3 linked regions of the Nothobranchius furzeri genome follow. The protein of the gene in region 3 interacts with the protein of the main gene of each other region in a pairwise test. Links are inferred from orthologs where the notes say so. Each region holds a gene or a part of one and is shown on either strand. Other genes may lie near its edges.

Region 1 (8,048 bases), on a different chromosome or scaffold from region 3:
GCTCGTTTCTGAGGAATTTTATAATTTTTGACAAAATATATATTTACACAAATAAAAAAGCTAAACAAAAACACGAGTTCATTTTTAATTACCATATTTAAATGTATTAGTGCAATTCTCTCCCATTTTGTCCGCCATTACTATGAGATCAGAAATCTCCCGTTTTGCTTGCTATGAATCCTGGGACAGCCTTTGGCAGTGAGGATGCACCAGACCCGTCTTTCAAATTTGGGGACAATGAGAATGCATTTGAGGACACGTGTCGAGTATCCTTCAAATTTTAACAACCTTGTTGCGTTGCTGTGACGTTAAATGCAATCTCGGAAGGATGGAGCTCTTGAATTTGGACACAGCCTTTATGTTTAGACGGTCTGATTTGATGGGGTACAAGTAAGAGTGAACAAAAAACAAAAGTCAAACTATTAAAGCAGAAAATGTCATTGACTCAGCCGCAACTTGGCAAAAATCATTAAATCTATAGCCTAGAAATCTAGACGTACAGTAGCCATGCTCCATAGATGCCTCAGCAGTCTGCTGGCTGGCCAATCACAGCATTCTGTCGGTTTGGTGGGCGGCATGATGCGACGGCTCGTTTAAAATGGCTTTGGTATCACCTTTGGACCATTTAGACTTGTGCTTTTCACTGAGTCAAGAGCAGATGGAGGTACTTAAGTCCTTTATTCAGAAAAAGGATGTTTTTGCATTTTATTTGATGGTGTATGGTGGACTGCCACGTTGACTAGCATCTGTGGTGGGGAGTACGTCACTTTGTTCATTGTCCAATAGCGTGCAGAGACTGTTTGAAAGACAACCGTAGATTCTGCCCCTAAACTGAACTTTCATATGGTGTCATGGCCAGACTATTTATTCACATATATAGGATATCCTGCAAGGCTATTAAATCAATGCTTCTACACAAATAAAAGACGATTAAGTGTTTCAAAGAAAACAGTGTGATTACCGGGGCCATCTCCTTTAGTGAACAATTTCTGCCAAGAACTTCTCTTTAATAGTTAAAGTGCAGAAAAACTGCACACAGATATTTAAAGTTTAAAATTCCCTAATTGTAACAAAAATCAAAGAAGAAATTCTACGATGTAGGTAAAAGTGAGATTTTGTCACATTGTGGGTAAAAAATGTTTGCAATGCTTGCATCTGCAAGTTTATAGCTATTTTTGGCAGTGCCTGATATAAAAGCTCATTTTAGAGCCACTCTATTCCTGTCTTCCATTTATGCACAGTGTGTAGTGAAGGACAGATAATGATTTACAGAGCGCAAACAGGAATGCATCATTAAACTTAAAAAAAAATCTCTGCAGCATCAGCAAAAGACGCAAAAGAATATGTTATTTATGAAAATCCTTCAGTTTGGCTTATGCCCCACATGGCTGTGCAGCACAAACCCAAGAGTGGATGACAGGCTCATTAGTTCCACTGTCTTCTGCAAAGGATGCAACAAAAGGAGCATCAGCTCCCCAGCTGTTCCCAATAAAACGCCACGAGTAGCAGGAAAGAGTGTGAAGCGCCTGCAACCACACACCCCCCACCCCAAAGAAACAACTGCATCCTGACAAATCGTTTTCACTTACCGTGGTTCTTCTCGCTCAGCAGGTTTTTTGTGGCTGGGAGGAACATTTCCATGAGTTCTGGGACCTTCCTGATGACATGAACTGCGCACAATGCTGCCTGTCAACAGATGTATAAATAAAGCTTGATTCAACGCTAAACACGTTTTTGGTGTTTAACTACAGCCGTTTCCGTTCACCTGCAAGCTAATCCCAAGTATTCAGCGAGTAAAAACAAAGATATCTAGAGTATTTATATTCAGACAGTGATGCTTACCTTTTTCCTCAAGTACGAGTTGGATGTTTTGAGCAGCTTTTCTACTTCTCCTGCCAGATCGCGGCACATTTCTGAGGATCCCATGCATCCTAAAGTGCACAAAGCCAGGCCTTGGACGTATTGTGTGCTGTGATTCAAATCGCTGGAGTGGAAGAACAATGGTCGAATGAGTCTCAGAAAAGCATTAGTACACAAAAGAATCAACCACGAATGTTCAAATCTAGACAAAAAATGACTTGTTTCTTAAATAAAACACAGAACGTTATGTTCACGGTTAAGTAGCAGACCAGGAAAGATTAAAGGATGAACAGATAAATTGTCTCATCAAGCACGACTGAGCTACAACTTATAGTGGCTGACTCATTACAATGACCTCCACTTACTTTTTAATGCAATTTGTCATTAGTAGATGCACATCCTGTCTCTCATCCAACAGCAGCATAGCGCCCAAATAACCTATTCGTTTGTCAGTGAACTTCTGGGATGCAATCAGCTTCAGACACTCCAGCTAAAACACAAAAAATATATAAACTCTTCAACAACATCAGTTATTTGACTTTAGTCCTTTTAATAATCCTCATTCACAACCATACCTGCCCAAAGTGTGCAGGGTAGCCCAACATGTGCATATAGAGTAGCTTTGCCACATTTCTGCAACGGTATGTATTGTCTTCCTCTCTAAAGGACGAGCGGATAGCAGCACACTCTTTCTGGATCATCTCGCGCTCCTCTGCCTGGGTCCGTGCTGTCCGGATGGTCCGGATCAGCTCCCGCAGTCTGATCGGGGCTGGCATTGTCTGCAAAACAGTGTCACAGAGGGGGAAAATACAGGTCAGAACCTAATGGCACAAACTTAAATCAAACAAAAACAAAAGGTTGTCCTACTAGGGAGAGGCAAATAAGAGCAGCCGGGAGAAATTCAATTCCCCTAAAAGAGGAGCTTCTGAGAGCACACCAGCAACAGGGTTAAATATTTATGACAGCTATATGCTTAGATGGGAAAAACATTCTGTGTTTATTTGCATATTATAATACGCATTAATTTAAAAGCATCAAATGCAAAAAAAAAATGTGTGATTTTTTTCAGTCAGGACAATAAACAAAAGTGGGAAAAGTAGTGTTCTCATTTAAAAAATTCCTCTCTGAATCATAAGTCAACAAATACAAAAACAATTACGTTTATATGCAGTCAGTATTTGGGTTTCTGAAAACTTCGGAATAACCCATTTACATGCACAAGTAAAGAGAGTTGCCCCTGTATACATGGGACTTCTAATATCCTGATTACATAGCTTGGGCATAATCAAATGCCTCTATAGGCTCTTTCAGAGCTGGAGAGGATTTGAGATTCTGGACTTTTGCCTCAGACAGGCTCATGGATGTGTCGCCACATTGGAGACAGGAACAAGCGCTATTCAGCCTAAGTTTCATAATCAGGGAACATTTTCTAAGCGACAAGTCTCTGTGAGAGACAGGGTTTGGAAAACACGTGCTTCAGTGAGAGGAATCTTCCTGCATGCGCTCTGGTTCTTCTGCAGCCTGTAACCAACGCACTCCGAGCCCCTCTCCACATCTTCAGCTCGCTGTCCACCTTACATGCCCGCTGAACTGTGAAGTGTCCAGTATAATGCTCAGATGGTAATCTTTTCTTGATTGATTTAGCTATCTCCGCAATGTGCGTAATAATTAAAATGTCAGCGCATCTGCAGGAGGTTTCTCCGTCAAAATAAACGGTGTAAAACAGGAAATATCAAATTGATGCTAACCCTGCCATTTAACCGTTTTGCCTTCTTGTGAAGATAGTTGCAAAGACGAACACCAGAGCCATGCGCACTGTACCGTTATCTCCATCACTGTAATTGAGGCGGAAAAAAGAATTGATCAGATCCTTTTCTTACCTTTTCAAGTGTTTAATGTAATGTTTCGTCCTGTACAACGTTTAATTGCAACAATCCAGCGAGACAGAGCCTGGATTTGTATTCTGAACAGTTTAAACATGTTTTAAAAGGAGGCATGTGTGACGCATTAAAAGAAAAAAAATAATCGGCATTTGCTCAGGCCCGGTAGGCCCACCCACAACGCCGCGGCTGCTGAGGCTCCCAGAGTTTTCTTGGGAGACAGGTAATAACGGCTCTTTGATTGGAAAAGGTTATCAACCCCTGATCTACTCAAAAGACCAAGAGTCTTTGCGAATAGAACATGCGCAGAGTGCACATTTTAACGGGTTATCCCGATACGAGTTTACGTGACCTGATATTCAGGTTAGAAAAGGGTTACCCCAGGGGTAATAGCCCGGTTTTTAAAAACCCAGTTATGAGCATAACCGTGCCGGTGTTTACATGGCCTTGCCGAACCAGGTTATTGCAAATAACTGGGTTTTGAACGGGTTACTGGCTGCATGTAAACACAGTCAATATCCTAAATTGTATTGGCTCCAAAGTAGGGATGCAACGATACCACTTTTTTCCAAACCGATACGATACGATACTTGGATCTGAATACTCGCCGATACCGATTACTGATATCTATACTTCTACCACACAAAAAAATGCAATGATTTGGAATACAGATTTTATTTTCTTCTCTGCTTTCAACAGGAAAAGACTGAGATTAGGGTTGTCACGGTAACCGGTATAGCGGTAAACCCCGGTAAAAAAGTTGACAATAAAAATAACCGTCCAGTTTTTAAAAAACTATATTATCTCGGTGGGTTTACCGTGGCCGCGGTTTCGGCGCGATGACCCTTACCAGCCACCGTCGCTTCAGCTGAAGTTCCCGCTGCGCGCACACGCACTTTTTAATTTGCAACGGCACCAAAACTTTGAAGCTGAAATAATGGCCGAAGGAGGCGACGGCAGCGCCCAGGACATCCATCAGCCCTCAAAGAAGACTAAATCGGAAGTATGGGCATATTTGGGATTTCTGAAAAATGCTGAGGGACAGTTAATAGAAGACGGCTATCCCGTTTGCAGAACGTGCAGGAAACAAGTGTCTGCAGAAGGCAGCAACACTTCGAATCTAATGGCACATCTGCGTGACGATCACCCACGTCTCCACAGCCAGTGCAAGGTAAGTTAACATTAGCATTTTAGCTGAAATGCATGACGTGAGGACTTTTGGTTGAGGGAGAATGCAACGAGTCACTACATACTGCAGCCGCAGCGTCCTCTGCCAGCATTTAAACCGTGTCACGGACACCCTGTTGCTGGATGAAGCATCTTATTTGTTGATGATGAAGAGAAATATACAATTAGTTCCTTGTCATGGATTTGTTTACTTATTCAATGCCATTTATACTTGAACATTTGGATTTGATTACATAGTGTAGTAGTTATTTTAGTAATTTGTTTAAAGTGGCTATTTATTTTAAATACATATTTTTTAAGGTTGACTTGTACAGTGCTCAAGTCAAGTGTGGACTGGAGTTTTAATTTTCATTTTGATAATGAAGAAAACAAGTATATGAGAAAACAAGTGGTGTTTCTTTGATTTGTTTACATATTGTTTATGTTTTGAATGTTTGGATTTGTATAATTTAAACCTGCACTGACTACTGTAACAAGTTCCAGAAAAATAAGCTATTTGTTCCTTTACTTGTGAAAAGTTGCACTTTTGCTAAGGCTTTGTGTTATTTTAGGTTTAATAAACACTGTTAAACCTTTTCAGAACTATTTCAGTTTGTGTAGAACAGGACTATCAATGCTTTCTGAACATATGCAACACCGTTTAAAAAATACCGCGATAATACCGAAAACCGTGATAATTTTGGTCACAATAACCGTGAGGTTAAATTTTCATACCGTGACAACCCTATGTGAGATAGATAAAAAGTTAAATATATGAATAGAAATATTAGGTGAACAGAAATGACAAGTTACAGTGAAGCCATTTTCAAGCAACTGCATTGGTATCGGTTAACTTTTACCGATATCGTATCGGTATCTGCACCGATACCGATACGGGCATCCCTACTCCAAAGTCAAAGACAAACACAATTATGATTGCTAGTTGGTTCAAACTGATTCAAAGGCAACCAGCATCTGCAGATGTAACAACTTTACCAAAACGGCATCAAACAAAGACACAAAGAGTCTGTTTCCAGATGCTCTTTGATGCTGCCTTCACTCGTCAACAAGTAAGTGAAGCAGCAGCAGAATTTGAGCTGGAGGAAGTTAAGAAGACACAGCTACAGTGCCATTACAGGGCATAAATCAGAGAAATGCATCTTTTAATGGATTACTTTGCAGCAATTATGTTCCAACAAATAAAAAATTATGTCTAAACTTCAGCAGGTCTTTAAAATAATTTACAGAACAGATCTCCATTCCAGTATTTTATCTTAACACCCCACTAGAAGGCCAACCGAGTGTACATGTCTGCAAAAGGACATTAACTGATATTGACAAGCTACGCTTTCCTCTCCTACTTTTGATATGAACCCATAGGTGTTTTAAAGGGGCCAGACTGTATATTCACACACATTGCGTGGAATAGGCAAGTAACTCACAATTATACGTGAAACTGTTAAATACATTTTAAAGTAGTCAGATCATGCCATTTTAAACCTTTGAGAGCAAAGGTAAGCACAGTATATGGCAAAGTTTTACCGTTGGCACTACTGAGATGTCATTTTATCTTAAATATGGGTTATTTTCATCAGCCTGTCTTTGTACCCGGAAATGAAATGGTCAGTTTCAATCAACCCCACCTCCACTGGCCTGAGCTGCACCCATTCATGACGTCACCCACAAAGCATCACGGGCCATGAAAAAGAAGAAGAAAATATCATTTCTATAGCGCCTCTCAAGATAAAAATCACGAGGCGCTTCACAAAAATAAAAAATGTAAAAATATAAAAAAAGCATTTAGAAAATGGTTAAAAATATATTTAAAATGAGCACAAATAGACAATTGTGATTAAAAAAATGTTAAGAAAGAGAGAGAGTGAACAGGAAAGAGGGAAATCAGTGGATCCTGAGGAAGGTGGAATAGGTGGGGAGAGCAGAATAAAGAGAGAGTGGTGAAGAAGGTCATACAAAAGCCAGCTTGAAAAAGTGTCTTCAGCTGCTTTTTGAAGGAGACCACTGAGTCCACTGATCAGGCTCTATAGACCAGAACCAGGATCTTAAAATGAACCCTGAAGTTGACTGGCAGCCAGTGAAGCTGGAGGAGAAGCGGGGTGATGTGGGTGTGTTTGGAGGACTTGGTCAGAAGTCGAGCACAGGCATTCTGAACCACCTGTAGACGGTTCAGGGAGGTTCTGCTCAGACACGTGAAAAGAGAGTTACAGTAGTCTAAGCGTGAGGAGATGAAGGTGTGGAGAACTGTCTCAAGTTCAGAGCGAGACAGAATGGGACTCAGCTTAGCAATGTTCCTGAGATGGAAGAAGGAAGAGTGAACAAGAGAACTGACATGAGAATCCAGGGTGAGAGCTGGGTCAAAGGTCACGCCAAGATTCCTGACAGAAGGTTTGGTGTGAGAAGCAAGCTGACCAAGAGAGTCTCTGGCTTTGGGAACCAGCTTGTCTGGGGCACAGATGAAGATCTCAGTCTGATCTTCATTCAGCTGTAGAAAGTTCCCAGCCATCCAGGTTTTGATAGAGTCTAAGCAGGTGTGTAACAGCTGCAGCTTAGACATCTCATGGGGCTTAAAGGAGATGTACAGTTGGATGTCATCTGCATAAAGATGGTAGAAGATTCCTTTGAAGGAGCTCAGGATGTGCTGAAGAGAAAGCAGATGGAGGAGGAAGAGCAGAGGCCCCAGCACAGAAGCTTGTGGGACACCATGGGTAAGAGAAGTGGTGGAGGACCTAAACTTGAGAGACGGCCACAGAAAAGGAGCGCTCAGAGAGATAAGAGGAGAACCCCTCCAGAGCAGATCCTGATAGGCCTACCCAGTCTCTCAGCCTCTCCAGTAGCAGGTGATGGTCAACAGTGTCAAAGGCTGCAGTCAAGTCCAGCAGGACCAGAACAGAACAGTCCCCTGCATCACTGTGAGTCAGAAGGTCATTAGAGACCTTAAGAAGAGCTGTTTCAGTAGAATGAGCTCTACGAAAACCTGACTAAGCAATCATAGATGTTATGTTCATCAAGAGCAGCTGTGAGTTGTTTAGCCACAACCTTTTCCAAGATCTTGGAGATGAACGGAAGTTTAGAGATGGGTCTGAAGCTGCTATGGAGAGAGGGGTCGAGACTCGGTTTTTTAAG
Region 2 (7,365 bases), on a different chromosome or scaffold from region 3:
AAACAAAGTTGTAGGTGTAATTTTTTTTCTTGTGTGTGTGTGTGTGTGTGTGTGGGGGGGGGGGTTACGGGGGATCTCGCACAGGGCGCCATTTAGGCCAGCTCCGCCTCTGCCTGTCCAAACGGAGGTGATGAGCGCTGCCCCATGCGGCTGCACGCACTGAAGTGAGGAGAGTCCCAACCCTACCTCCCCACCTAGTGGACACTTATGTTGTGTAATGTCTGAAGTTTGTTGCATATCTGTCTGAGGTTTTTTGCATAGCAAAGCTACCCTCCCTGTTGAGGGTAACTCTGAAGTGACTTTTCTTCCCCTCCCCCTGACTCTATCCTCATATAAACCCTCTTGATCTATAACAGCAGCGCGACTCGGGTTGCGAATGACCACAGTCACCAATTCTTGTCATGTGTCTATGTATGTATGTCTGACCTCAGAATTGTGTGTACTGAAACTCTAATTTCCCTCTGAGATTAAAAAAGTATCTTTGAATTTGAATTGAATAACACCTTATAGATCATTTTGGGGGTGCAGGACAGTAGTCAGTCAGCTGGTCTTAGGGAACGCACCGGTACATGTGGTGTAAGGAGTTCTGACAGATACAGGGGTGCTAGGCCATGTAACCCTAACCCCGGCTTTCCACAGGAGCCGTCAGCAGCACGTTACTGCAGCAGCACGTCATAGCTGCTGATAGGAACCGCTGTGGTCAACAGAACCTTTTCCACTGGAGCCGTCGGCAGCCGTCAGCAGCGCGAGTCGGCTGCGTCTCAGGAGCAGCATGTTGCGGCCTTCACGCGCCGGTTCTATTTTCTACGCGCGACGCCTCTGAAACGGGTCAAGTTCGACATTTTTGGGGAAGGAAAGACAGGAAATCGGATGCGGAAATGGAGAGAAGCTACCGAGATTTTCAGAATAAAGAACGTACTGCCTTCCGGTTGCTTTACTTTTAAAAAAGGTTACTAACTGTGCGTCCCCGTGAGAAGTTATCACCTAGCTAGCGGTCTCCTTTGTTTTTCAGGTCTGTATTGGCGATTATAAAACAGACAGAACATAAAACACAAACCATGTTGTAATTTTCTCCTGCTTGTTGTTGTGTTTACTGACGAAGTCACTCGTGTGACTTCGTGCTCGGTCGGTGACTGCTGCTCCCCTGCTGCTTCATGTCTCGTGGGAAGGGCCAAGCAGCAGCTTACGCGAGCAAGACGTGCTGCTGCAGTAACGTGCTGCTGACGGCTCCCGTGGAAACCCGGGGTAAGTCACAGGCAGCCATGACGGCGTCACTAATGGTGTTTTATTCTAATAACAAAGAGAGAAGTCTATTGAAATACTTTCTTCAGGTTTCCACGACTGGGGGGGGGGGGGGGGAGTGCCAGGATGCTGCGTAAGATTACGCATGGATGTTTGTTCAGTCATTAAGTATTAAGAAGGATAATTTGTGTATTGAGAGGGAATACCATTGTGACAATAACAAACCCCGTTAAGACCTTTTAAAATCTTAAAACATTACAGCTGCAACATCACCGCTACTGGCTGCAGTTCATGATCAGCAGCTAAAAATGTATTTATTAATTTGGTTTAACGTGTAAATCAAATCAAAACTCTCAACAAAGTTGATGATTATTTATAGACACAAACCATCCTCCTCTCCACGCAGGAAGACTTCAACTACTCTGTCATAAAGCTTTTCAGTTCCATCAGTAAGTCCTTTTCTTTGGCCATTTTAATATTTCCCATCTTTATCCTATTGTCTGGAGCAACTACTCTTCTAGATAAAATTTCCTTTGGGATTATTAAAGTATTCTGATTCTGATGGAGGTCATGGCTGGGTCGCCTCTGGCTGAAATACAAACTAGCGACAGGGTTGGACGGACTCTCGTAAAAACGATCAGCTTCACTGAAAAAGTCCGTCTTGATAACAGAACTGAAGTAATCCCTGAGACCAAATCAGTTTCTTCTTCTCCGTTAGCCATACAGCTAGTCTGCTATCTGTTGACTAGTGATGGTGATGTTGGTGAATGGCTGACGAGTTTTACTCACGATACACTTGGGAGACGGTTTTGGAGATCCACTTGTAAACTAGCAGGTCATAAAGCTACATGTGAGAGTAAAAATAAAACCAGTCAAGCAGCTCAACATTTTATTCAGTATTTTACAACCACTACATCACTAAAGTCAGTCAGCCTTGTAACATTTTTAGCAGCCATGGCTCAATCCTGACTGGGACAGCCTAGACACATCTGCAGGAGAGGAATTACTAAGAATGGAGCTCATTCTCCTCTGAACACAAGTTACGGAAGTTATTGTCTTCTCCAGCAACCATTGTTTGAGTTAGAGGCGCCGTTCCCTCTCGTCCCTCCCAGGCCCAGTCTCTAAATTATTAATCAAATCTTACGTGCCAAACGGTATCTTTTAATTTAAACAACTTCCACTTAAAACATTTTGGATCGTTTGAAGTGGGTTTTTGGATAGAGGTCTTACCTGTTGTAGATAGCAACATAAGTTTGGATAAAACAAACATTCTCACCGAATTCATGATGGAACATCTAGCTTGAGCTGGGTTAAGTCCAAAAAGGAATACTGGCATCTGAATACAGCTTGGAGTTGTACAAATTAACTTCTCCAAACTAAGGTCACTCAAAGTGCTACCTACAATAGATGAAGTGTTTATTGTTCAAGAATTTTCCATAGAAAACCACTTCAGAAGCTCTGCAGCGTTATCTTAACATAACCATATCTGATTATCAGTCCAACAGCAAGGCAGGATAGTGCTCTGAATACACTGAGCTTCATGATCCACATGTTTCAGACAGTTACACACTCACTGTACAGTATGGGGTCTATGTGCCTCTTTAAATGCAAATAAAACAGATAAAATTTTCTTCAACTGATTTGAGGAACGACACATCATTGTCCAGTTTTCATCAGCCTACTACAGAAAACAGTCCTCTTCAAGAACCCTTTCCACCGCAATCGTTTCCCATCTAGGCTGAACGGGTACATCAACATAACATAACACTACAAACACCTAAAACAGCCCTCAGGATTGGCTGGTTTGTCCTGATTATGGGTTATGTGGCATTACCTCTGGAGATATGGCACTAAGTTCTACTAGGATGCATCAATTTACAGTGAAAATTTCCATTTATGTGTATTAAAAAATAGCAGTCGTAACAGCAGATATGGAACTGTAACTCTTTGGTTAACCCTGATATATCATACTGACGTACATATATATCAATGTTTATTAACAGTAGTACATTCTTGTTCCTCAAACCCCAGATCACTTCATTACAGGCCTCAGAGAGAGAGGGAGGGATGAACGGTTCTACAAAAATACTATATGTACTTCAGAACCAATGTAAGAAAATGTCAATGAAATTTCATTCCCAGTCAAAAGTTTAGAAAAATACAACCACACAGGAAACTCAGATATGTGCATAGGGATTTTTTTCAGTGAACATCAACTACAAAATACTTCGATTAAAAGCACAAGTAAAATAAGCATCAGCAAAGCGACCAAACCAACAGAAACAATCAGCTCAAAGATTCAAGTGGTCAGAAATTAGATCAGAAAACCAGTTCTTCTTTGGGTCTATCTGACCACAGTCTGCGGTTCTGCGTCCGTGGAAGGGGGTCCTCTGCTGAGCCGTGATGGCTTCACGAACACACCGTGACCTGGGGGGCAGCGGAAGTACACTCTTCCCTGGACAGTCCCATTGTGCTTACCTAAAAGGGACAAGTAAAAGACATTTGTTTTGTTTTCCTGTCATTTATAGTCTCATTTGTAACATATAAAATATATCCAGATTGCAAAACTGTAAAACCACTCTTGTTTGTAGTTTTAAATCGTCCACCAGGCCCTTACTCAGAGTTTTTGGATCAGATCTCTGATTTTTTTATCTGATTTGGTGCTAAATACTGATAAGGTCATTGTAGTGGGGGATTTCAACATTCATGTGGACATCGAAAATGATTGCCTCAATGTAGCCTTTAGTAATATCTTAGACTCAATTGGTTTTACTCAAAGAATACATAGCTCCACCCACTCCTGCCATCATACATTGGACCTTGTGCTGACTTATGGCATAGAGTGTGAGGAAATAACAATCTTTCCACATAATCCAGTCCTCTCGGACCACTTTCTGATAACCTTTGAGTTTTTTATAACTGAGTTCTCGAGACATGAAAGTAAATTTCACTATAGTCGGTCTCTATCTGACAACGCTGTTGCATCTTTTAAATCAACTGTTCCATCTTTACTGTCCTCAGCATCTCAGAGGAACGTAGCAGAGGGCAATATTTTCAGTTCTAGCCCCTCACAAATTGATGCCTTAGTTCATCATGTTAATTCCTCTTTACGTGTGGCATTAGATGATGTTGCCCCTTTAAAAAAGAAGGTAATTAGGGACAGGAAGTTGGCTCCCTGGTTTAACTCTCATTTACGAGCCTTAAAACAAAACTCTAGGAAATTGGAGAGAACATGGCGCTCTACGTACCATGAGGAGGCCTACCTACCCTGGAAAAATAGTCTTGTGCTTTATAGAAATAAGCTTCAACAAACTAGAACTGCTTATTTTTCAGCATTAATTGAGGAGAATAAGCATAATCCTAAATTTCTTTTCAGTACAGTTGCTAAACTTACACAGAATCATAGCTCTGAGCCATCTATTCCCTTAGCCCTCAGCAGCAATGACTTCATGGGATTTTTTACAAGTAAAATTAATTCTATTAGAAACAAAATCTTTAGCATCCTCCCTAATGCGATTTCTTCTTCCTCAGTGAGGCAGCTTCAGAGGTGACTGTAGAACCTCATCTGTGCTTGAACTGTTTTGATCCAGTTGAGCTTTCAGAGTTATCAAAAATATTAGCTTCATCTAAACCTTCAACTTGCATTTTGGATCCAATCCCAACCAAATTATTTAAAGATGCATTTCCTTTGGTTACTGCCCCCATTCTAGATACAATCAATCTATCCTTAGTAAATGGATATGTACCACAAGATTTTAAGGTTGCTGTAATCAAACCTTCACTTAAGAAGCCTTCTCTGGATCCAGATGACCCAATGAATTATAGACCAATATCTAACCTTCCATTTTTATCCAAAGTCCTGGAGAAAATAGTGGCCATCCAAGTATGTCAGCATTTAAACACTAATGCTCTGTTTGAGGAATTTCAGTCTGGTTTCAGAGAGTATCACAGCACTGAAACTGCATTAGTGAGAGTTACAAATGATATTCTCATGGCCTCAGATAAGAATCTTGTGTCTGTTCTAGTCTTGTTAGATCTCAGTGCTGCCTTTGACACAGTTGATCACAATGTTCTTGTAGAAAGACTTGAACATGTTGTAGGGATCAAAGAAACAGCGTTAGGCTGGTTTAAATCCTACCTGTCTGACAGATTTCATTTAGTAAACGTACATGACAAATCGTCTTCATACTCCAGGGTTACTTGGGGAGTACCACAGGGTTCAGTGCTTGGACCAATTCTTTTTACTATATATATGCTCCCAATTGGTAAAATCATTAGACAGCATGGGATAAACTTCCACTGTTATGCTGACGATACTCACTTATATTTATCCATTAACCCTGATGAACCTAATCGGTTGGGTAGATTACAGGCTTGTCTTGAGGACATAAAAAATTGGATGACTCTAAACTTTTTGCTTTTAAATCAAGACAAGATGGAAGTTCTCATCTTTGGACCCGAAATCCAGAAAAGGAAATTGCTTAGCCAATCACCTGACCTGAATGGCATTACATTAATCTCCGCGAACAAAGCAAGGAACCTTGGTGTTATCTTTGACCAGGACATGTCATTCAAATCCCAGGTTTCACAAGTTTGTAGGATTTCTTTTTTCCACCTTCGGAATATTGCTAAGATTAGAAGCATACTTTCCAGGAGTGATGCTGAAAAACTAGTCCATGCATTTATTACATCAAGACTGGATTACTGTAATTCATTACTCTCAGGAAGTCCACAGAATGTAGTTAAAAGTCTTCAGCTTGTCCAAAATGATGCAGCTAGAGTTCTGATGAGAATTAAAAAGAGAGATCATATCTCTCCTGTCTTAGCTTCCCTACATTGGCTACCTGTTAAATTCAGAATAGATTTTAAGATCCTTCTTCTCACATATAAAGCTCTTAATAATCAAGCTCCATCATACATTAGGAATCTGATTGTTCCATATGTTCCTAACCGAGCACTTCGCTCTCAGACTGCAGGTCTACTGGTGGTTCCAAGAATATCTAAAATTAGGATGGGAGGCAGATCTTTTAGTTATCAGGCTCCTCTCCTGTGGAACCAGCTCCCAGCTTTAGTCCGTGAGGCAGACACTTTGTCTACTTTTAAGAATAGGCTTAAAACATTTTTATTTGATAGGGCCTATGGTTAAAATCTGATGTTAGCCTAAATCTGGACAAGTGGGGGAGTAGAGGGAGGTGGAGTGTACAGTCGGTAAAGACGGCTCTCCCTTGCCCTGCCTCCAACATGCCTCCATCTAAATAGGATAGATTATCCAGAGTAATCTCTGTAGTTATGCTGCTATAGGCTTAGACTGCTGGAGGATACACTGACCACTTCTCACACTCTACTGCGTTCTTCTACTATCTGCTCTTTAACTGTATTATTTTGTGCAATTTCAGCTGTTAACTTTATTTTCTCTGTAAGTGTTTTTCTCCCCAGAAGAAGCGGCAATGACGTTCTGCTGAGCTGTGGTGGCCTCATGGAGGGGGCCATCGACTAGCACACTGCTGCTAACCACTTAAACATTCTCTCTCTCCTGATAATAACTTTTTGGTTTCCTTGACTTTTGATGTGCTAATACTAGTTTATCCGTTTAATTATAGATTCACTAGGACAAATACAATAAAGTTTACCTTTCACCAAATAGAATATTTACTAAGACATCACAATATAACTATAGACACATTACTTGTGTGTGTGTGTGTGTGTCTCTCTCTCTCTCTCTCTCTCTCTCTCTCTCTCTCTCTCTCTCTCTCTCTCTCTCTCTCTCTCTCTCTCTCTCTCTCTCTCTCTCTCTCTCTCTCTCTCTCTCTCTCTCTCTCTCTCTCTCTCTCTCTCTCTCTCTCTCTCTCTCTCTCTCTCTCTCTCTCTCTCTCTCTCTCTCTCTCTCTCTCTCTCTCTCTCTCTCTCTCTCTCTCTCTCTCTCTCTGCTCTGTCTCTCTCTCTCTGCTCTGTCTTCTCGATCCCCAGTGAGTCATGGAGGATGGCTGCTTATACTAAGCCAGGATTCTCTGGAGGTTTCTTCCTGTTAAAAGGGAGTTTTCCTCTCCACTGTCACTTTATGCTTGCTTGGTATGAGAATTGCTGTATAGTCACTGACACTAGTCAGTGACTTAATGCAATTTG
Region 3 (8,048 bases):
TGAACCTGGGCGGCTAAAAGGTGCAGCACTGCTAACGGACATTCAGCTTTCAAGACATTAAAGCTCTGAAATAAAGCATCGCTGTGTCCTTCACTGACCAAGAGGTCCTCATACAAGTGCAAAGAATGGATACTTCATTTGGAATATTTTTCCATGTTTAAATGTCACACTCCACTAGATGCAGCCAAGTTCTCAAGTGTGTGTTTTTATTTGAATATTTTGATTGCTGAAAAAGGCCCGCACATTATATTAAAATTCAGTAGATCAAATAAATAAATAAAACAAAAACAATGACAAAATCTAGAGATAATAAACAGAAGGACTGAATAAGTAATGTAGGCTGTCTTCTGTTGCACCTGCTCCGGCTAACCCGGCTAATCCACAAGGAAATCATTAAATGGTGATTAAGCATGAAATTTTAGAGAGAAAGATCATAAATGCTAATCAGCAGCAACAGTCATGCATTTAACGAGAAAGCTGATTGTGATGCTTCAAACCAATTAAAATGATGAGGAGTTGAGATCAACTGGTTCAGTTCAGCTGGTGATGATGTGCTGATTAGTCACATTGGATGTTTAACGCACATTTATTGGGCATGTCAAGATGAATCTGAGATGAGCCAGATCCAGATGTTTTGGGTTTACATTTACGTAAGCACAGAACAATTGTGATGCATTTTATCTGCTGTGTCCTTGCAGAAGAATTAATGGCAGCTGAACAGCCAACCAAGGGCACCGAATCGTGTCCCCTAAACCTGCTGATTTGATTATCCAAGATGAAGAGCTATGAAAAAAACTGTTCTGACATTTCTTTAAACAAATATGAAAGGGCTTAATGGCTCCGTGTGATAGATAAACCTAGGAACCGGCAGAACAAATCATATTTGGGAACCTGTCAAATCAGACAGCTGGTCCCATCAAAACAGGGCCAGGAGGCAGCAGAGTAGAAAGGTTAGCAGCACCACTGAGGCCTAGTTAGACAAAGGAGCCATGTGTCGACTAATGACTGTCCTAACCTCCATCATCCCTCCTCACTCTTATCTTCTCTCCACAGCTGCAGCCGTCCACCATTCTGCCCAGTTAAAAGGAACCACCCTGACCAGAACCAAACAGACACCAGCTGTTTTTTTTTTTTTTTTTTTCAAATAACCTTTTGAAACAGTCTGTCTTTTTCATATTTAAGCACAGCATGGGTGTATAAGAGCAAAGGTGCATTACAGATTGGCAGACTTTCAGGACACTGACTCAACAGTCTCACTCTTGCGTAACAAATCTCTATCAGTCATCATTTCTCCGGTTTAGACCGACATCCGGTAATTTATCCAAGTCGCGATACTATGGAGTCAAAATTAAATTAACTGATTAAACATAAAACGTCTAAAGTGATTTGTACAAGAAGCGGCACAAGCACAGAGGGGATAATTCACCTGCAGGTTGTTGAGTGGATCCATCTTCATAACGGGTCCAACAGTATTCAGGGGAAGGGCCACCTCAATGGTCTGGTTTGGGCTCAGAGGAGTTAGAACCTGGAGAGGTCCAGCTGGAGCGATGCCAAAGCTGCAGAGAAACACAAAGTGGATAAAAGGGTCAAAAATCTGTTTTTCAAATGGTGACTAGACAGTTGGCACTTTTAGCACCCCCTAGTGCCCGTTTGTAGAACCAAAAGCAAATCTCATCTCCTTGCTGTGCGTTCAACATTTTTACACCTTAAAGGGACTTTACAGACTTTTGAATTTTTATGCTCGTGATTGCCCCCTCAGGCCAAAAGCGTAACGGCAGCTTCAATAGTAGGCTCGTGCACGAGGCGTGCATGCTGTACGTGCACACTCCTTGACAAAAATGACAGCTGAGACAGTCCTGTGTGTGTGTGTGTGGGGGGGGGGGGGGGGGGGGGGACAGGAGAACGCGCAGCTAATTAAATGGTAAAATGGTAAATGGCCTGTATTTGATATAGCGCCTTCTAGAGTCCTGGAACCCCCCAAGGCGCTTTACAACACAATCAGTCATTCACCCATTCACACACACATTCACACACTGGTGGGGATGAGCTACAATGTAGCCACAGCTGCCCTGGGGCGCACTGACAGAGGCGAGGCTGCCGAGCACTGGCGCCACCGGTCCCTCCGACCACCACCAGCAGGCAACGTGGGTTAAGTGTCTTGCCCAAGGACACAACGACAGCGACAGACTGAGCGGGTCTCGAACCTGCAACCTTCCGATTGCGAGGCGAGCACTTAACATTTATGATCTTTCTCTCTAAAATTTCATGCTTAAATAATTTGGTTCTGTACCTTTCTCTTCAGCACAGCCGACAAAGGTTTATGATGGGTCAGTCCTCCTGCATGCTCAGATCATTCCCTTCCCTTGCTTGGAAAGTTGTTCCAAAACGAAAGTTGAACCCACATCTTTTTTATCTGTGAATTCAATGCCGTTCGGCGAGTCTCAAATAAAAATTTGGGCATCTTACGGAAAAAAATATACCATTAATGTAAAAAAGAAACTCCAAATAAATTATGTTCACATCCAGAATCGGACCCAGGTCTTCTGCATGGGAGTCAGACATCTTACAAGGTGAGCTACACTCTAGTAGCATTGACACTCTCTGTAACTTTTATATCCTTGACGACACCTGAAACAACGTCAAACCAAAGAACGGTTCGAAACGAAAATGGCTATTTTGTTGCTAATTTGCAGGAAATATCTAGAAGAAAGTTCTACAGAAAGTAGCTAAGCGTCCTCAGAAATGTAGCTAGCTTTGTCACTAGGCATTAGGAACAGCGACAAAGTGGCACTACCTCACTCTCTGCTGCTAAAGCTACTGATAGCAAATGCTACGGGCGATGCCTGAGCGTGAACGCGCATGAAGCAGCCTGCTCGACCCGAGCATCTCTCTTTTTCTGTGATCTTACAGAAAAACAGGCAATCACAGTAAAAATGCCAGGGCTCATTCTACAGGACCAGGGCATTGCAGTAGAATGCATGTAGAAGAAATGTATTATTTCTATACATGTTTGGGCTGTCAAACTTCCATAATATCCCTTTAATCCAACAGCTGAAACGTCTCCCAGCCCTCATTAGTGTCTACAGGAGTGATTCATCACTAAATTAAACAAATCAGCTGTGCTCATGATCTAAAACATGCAGGAAACGTGCTGGAAGCAGACTGTAGTGCCAGATATGTCAGCTCATTTTATTCCATTTCCAAGTCCACTAGACCGGACCGACACTCCAAAGTTGCAAATGAGGTATTCTGGCCAGAGGGCTGTGGGGGTCTGAGTGACACTTCATTAAAGGGTCATTTTAGCACATTTTAGCTCAAGAAAATTATTTAAAAATATGAACAAGTTGCAAAGTATCCCTTTAAATGAAAATAGCTGTAAGATAAAAGCTCTTCCTACCTGTTTCTGTTGAACTGGATGGCAAAATCAGTCATGACGCTCATCGCTTTGTTGATCAGGGTCATCTCCATTTGGATGATTCCGGCCCGGCGGGCAAAAGTGCCGGATATTTCCAGGCCCTTTCCCTTCATGGCTGGGAGCCAAACCTAAACAGAGAGGCTGGTTTTAAAAGCCACCCATGATGAACTCCTTTAGGGAATCATTCCAGCACATGGACTCACCGTTTTGGGGGGGTTGTAGGCTCCCATGGGCATCCCAACTCCACCTCCAAGATCAAACAGGTCATCCAGGCCGCCGCTAACAGGAGCGCTGAACGAGGCTGGCGATGCGGCTGGAGCAGCACCAAAACCAGCTCCCATCTGTGGGTCACAGAGAACACGTGAAATGGTGCATTGCATTAGCGATGAAGGCCTAAGAAAACTAGAAAACGACTTACAGCAGAGCTTCCTCCAAGGTCTCCGCCAAGCTGAACACGAGGAGAAAGGAAAAGAAAAACTCATTGTGAACAAAACATCATAAATGAATAAAAGTTGATGTTAAAACTACAGGATCTTCTGAGGGGGTGGAGGAGGATGAGAGGAGGGGTGGTCTGTAACAAATAACAGTAGGGAGATGTCTGCAGACAAACCCAAGTGATTGGTTTCATTCAAATGCAGCTCGATAACTTTGTCTTTAGCGTTTTAAAGACTAAAAACAAAGATCAAACCTAAAGAGAGACGGAACACTGGAACCCTAACTAGATGGAGCAGGAAAACAAGCAGAGCAACACAAAGCTACCGAGAGGACATGGGACAGCAGAGGGACAAGTGGTGTTGAGCTCTAGGCTGATGCTGGCCTTTACTGGTCCAGCGTGCTCCTCCAGGACCAACCTCAGTGGGGCTGTAATCTGGGGACGATGAGGACTGATGTGGAACCTGAGGTGACCGAGTGTCCGAGCGCAGGGGAATGGGCAGCTGATCAGAAGATGAACGATCCAAAGACAACAGAGATGGAGTGAGACTTAACATGATAAATGTCACGACAATATGAGATGATAGTGTATGGAAACTACGGGTAAGTGAATAAAGAGCCCACGCTGTGCTGATCGTATCACACGGGCTTGTGCGAGTGCAAGACTCTACGAGAATCTGTAGGAGTTGCGTTCTCCTGGTCTTTAGAACACGTTTTTATAGGCACCACTTAACAGACGCTTTGAGTTCGTCAACGTAACGACAAGTAAGGCTGAATGATTTTGTGAAAATTCATCAGATTGATTCACTTCCACGCAATAATCACAACGTACAGTAATATTTACAAACATGACAGGAAATGCCATCACACCATCACCACATGAAAAGTTATTACTCAAATAAGCACAAAAAGCGCTGCGCTAACACCATATTTACCTCAACTCCACAAAGATAGTTTCTTGGTAATTCCCTTTCCCCTGTTGCAGGAAGCGGGCAAATGAGACTCGGCCACTAAATGAGCAACGGCGACAGATAACCACAGCTATGACCAATATATACAGTAGAAGTGCCACAGAAAAAGAAAATTACCAATTAAAAATAAATAAAACTATATCCCGCTGCAAACTCAAGCATCAGGGTCCCGTAACCTCCACAGCCGCTCGCTGCTGTTGCTGTAGCTCTTCTAAAACCTTGAGATAACCCTAGATGTGTAAAATATTTATATAAAAGGTCAGGATCAGTCACGATCGCTGCAAAAAAATTTTTTATGAAATAAATACCTGTTTTGACGATTACAAGATCACATCGTTTAAAAAAATTAATGAATCGCAGTTTCTATTGAAAAACGAAGATTGTTCAGGCCCAATGACCAATAATCTGACTTTTTAAATTTGTGCCAGAAATAAAATTGTCATCGAGACATAAAACAACTCCCAAGAGAGTCAGGAGTTTTGACCCTTCACCAGACGGTGATCATTAGGAAAAAGCTGGAACATTTAATGACAATAACGAAAATGTATTTCAAAGATGTTAATTTATGCGAGTTCTATCAGTAGATAACCATAAAAGACCAAAAACAATGACAACTGTTATTTGTAACGGGTTACATATGAGGGCATAAACAAAACACCTCCATAGCACCCTTTACACATCACCTCCCCGCCTGATCGTATCTAGAAGACTTGGAACAGGAAAAGGAGGACTGAAATAGTGAGATGGTCCTAACAGACTCATCAGCTGCCGTTTTCATGGTGATTTCAGTGACGCGACGAGAGTAGAGTAGCGTCCCACCCTGTTAACATTCTCTGAGTGTACACAGCTTGTAGGCGGCTCTGACCCACTTTTAATTGTTACATCAACAACACTCTTTGGCTGGGTGGACTGACCAATTAGAGCAGACCGGGCTGTTAAAAAGAGCTTTTAAGAGACGAGGTGACAAGGGGGGGGGGGGGGGGAACGGCAAACGTGCTGCTTTTGCTTGATGCTATTCTAGTAGAATCCCAAAATAACTCCACTGTTACAAAAGCACTGTCTGGGCTCTTTTAGATGAATATTTAGAGGATGGGCTTAAATGACTGGTAAAGATCATCCCTCCTTGTAGTTACCGGCTCAGACTCCTCCCCCATCTGCAGGAGCAGCATATTAAACAAAGAAAGAACACGCAAGTTCAAGAAAAAATAAAGAATGTCAATTAAAAATAAATAACAGTTATTTGGTTAAAAAGCTGCTTTAGGTAGAAGAGTTAATCAAACTGATGTGTGTAGAAAACACACCAGGCTGTCCAGTCCTCCTCCGAGGAGGTCCATGGCTCCCAGCTGCATGCCAGAGGTGGGCGGCGGCGGTGGCCCAGTGGTGGCAGGAGGCGTCAGATCAAGATTGAGAAGGTCACCGAGGAGGTCTCCCTGGGATGGGATCACAGCAGGTGGAGCATCAGAGCCCCCAGCAGCAGAGCCAGTGTCTGGGCTCTCCAAACTCTCCCCTCTGGAAGAAATGAGGAAAAAAAAATGAAATTAATTCATAAAACACACACATTTACAAACTGCACAATCATTTTGATTTGATTAGCCATTTACACAACTATCCAGCCACCTAGAACAGCTACACAGAAGGTTTAAATGAAACAAAGTCAAACAGACAAGTCCACATATGTAAACACAACTTTCTGCCTGCACTGGAAAAGAAAAATAAATTAAAATAAAAACACGTATGACTCACAATCCAGTACTGCCCGGGAGCCTCTTGTGCTGAACACCCCGGCTGCCCTCAACAAAGGCACTGGGGGGTTTGTGGTAAACGGAGGCCAGAGTACCAATGTGGCAGATGAGCTCCTCCAGCAGAGTAGGCTCAATCAGATCTGTCTCCTCGGAGATCAGAGGCTTCTCAGCCAGAACCACCTCCTTGGCAGCCACAGGATCCGTGGACAGCAGACGCCAGTAGATGTAGCCTCTGTCCCTCAGGTCTGGGTTATCAGAATCCTGCAGGAAGGCGTTTAACAGTGAACTGTTAAATAAAAACTTGATGTCGAGACTTTTTAGTGTAGAATTGAGACACTGGGGCGCTGGGATTTGGAGAATGCATGAAGCTACGTGCTACTGCACACTTTTGTTAACAAAAAAATAAGTAACATTCACACATTTCATGGAGTTTCAGCAAAAGGAAAGTGAGCTTAAAAGCCGGTTAAAAAAAAATGTCCGAGTAGAAGAGTCCTCGTGAGCGATGATGGAAGATTTCACTCAAATTTCAGCTTTCTGCCAACTTTGTTGAAGCACCAAACAGTTTTATCCATCAACTAGAAAAAGAAACAAATCCATCTCCCATCTTTTCAACTCAAATCCTAACAGACGTCATGGCTATCTGTGTCAGATCAAGACAAATGACAAAATAAATGAATAAAAGTGTAAAGGACAGATCAGACAGCTTAGTGTGTACGGATAAAACCATTTATGAGCAGAAGATTTGTCCCCCCCACCCACCTGTGTGGCGAGGCTCAGAACCTGCTGCACCAGCTCCTGCGTCTCTGTAGGCTTTTTCAGGAACAGCTTGACGATTGCCGTCAACAACTGCAACTGCACCTAAAGGTCACAATGAAGGAATAAATCAAGTCAACAGCCACTCATGTGTATAATGTTTAAGACTGTAAATGCAGCTTTGTTATGATCTTTAAAAATACCCCTTGGCTAAACACGGTTAAACACTGTTTTCATATTTAAGAAAAATTTTTTTGGTAAAACGGATTTCCTTCTGCACAAGAAGGGAATGGACAATTATTTTTCATGGGAATAACGTGATAAATTAGCCATTTACCTCACAGGGACAGTCTTTTATGGGTTTAATGCCTCTTGTGTGACTTGCGTCATTAAAGAGCAAGTCACCGCCAAGTCAACGTTTTTTGCTATATAAATGGGTGTCTAGTCGTACTGGAGACATGTTTGGTCAATAATTTGGCACTTTGGTGCTTCTTGGTTAAAATTGAAATATTCTGCCTAAAACTGTCAGTGTTCTGCCCTCTTCAGGTAAAAACACTGCACTACATTTTAATTTAAATCTGCCATCTATTGGCTAAGAGGTCCCATATGATGTCACAATGCCGCTGTGAGCCTGTGTGTGTTAGTGTATTTGTTATGGGCTCCATCTTCCAGTCTGCCAGGCAACGCCTCCTTGTGGTGCATTTTTAAAACAGGAAATGAATGTCGAGATGGACT

What was found.
Region 1: the proteins of ap1b1 (region 3) and ap1g1 interact in a two-hybrid assay, tested with the Homo sapiens proteins (2 studies listed by BioGRID, with this or other methods). The link is inferred for Nothobranchius furzeri from reciprocal best matches to the Homo sapiens genes AP1B1 and AP1G1.
Region 2: the proteins of ap1b1 (region 3) and kif13a interact in binary tests that used the Homo sapiens proteins (3 or more experiments, as listed by UniProt). The link is inferred for Nothobranchius furzeri from reciprocal best matches to the Homo sapiens genes AP1B1 and KIF13A.

What each region holds. Positions count from the first base shown.
Region 1 is NC_091749.1:59,373,654-59,381,701, forward strand, and holds part of ap1g1 (AP-1 complex subunit gamma-1), read right to left. Parts: intron 2,640-8,048; 5' UTR 2,637-2,639; coding exon 2,436-2,636; intron 2,351-2,435; coding exon 2,226-2,350; intron 1,985-2,225; coding exon 1,843-1,984; intron 1,687-1,842; coding exon 1,590-1,686; intron 1-1,589. UniProt on the Homo sapiens protein: Subunit of clathrin-associated adaptor protein complex 1 that plays a role in protein sorting in the late-Golgi/trans-Golgi network (TGN) and/or endosomes.
Region 2 is NC_091745.1:82,810,240-82,817,604, reverse strand, and holds the end of kif13a (kinesin-like protein KIF13A), read right to left. Parts: intron 3,721-7,365; coding exon 3,587-3,720; 3' UTR 2,115-3,586; downstream 1-2,114. UniProt on the Homo sapiens protein: Plus end-directed microtubule-dependent motor protein involved in intracellular transport and regulating various processes such as mannose-6-phosphate receptor (M6PR) transport to the plasma membrane, endosomal sorting during melanosome biogenesis and cytokinesis.
Region 3 is NC_091757.1:46,119,756-46,127,803, reverse strand, and holds part of ap1b1 (AP-1 complex subunit beta-1), read right to left. Parts: intron 7,419-8,048; coding exon 7,320-7,418; intron 6,822-7,319; coding exon 6,562-6,821; intron 6,328-6,561; coding exon 6,120-6,327; intron 5,973-6,119; coding exon 5,952-5,972; intron 3,864-5,951; coding exon 3,834-3,863; intron 3,757-3,833; coding exon 3,619-3,756; intron 3,544-3,618; coding exon 3,398-3,543; intron 1,557-3,397; coding exon 1,427-1,556; intron 1-1,426. UniProt on the Homo sapiens protein: Subunit of clathrin-associated adaptor protein complex 1 that plays a role in protein sorting in the late-Golgi/trans-Golgi network (TGN) and/or endosomes.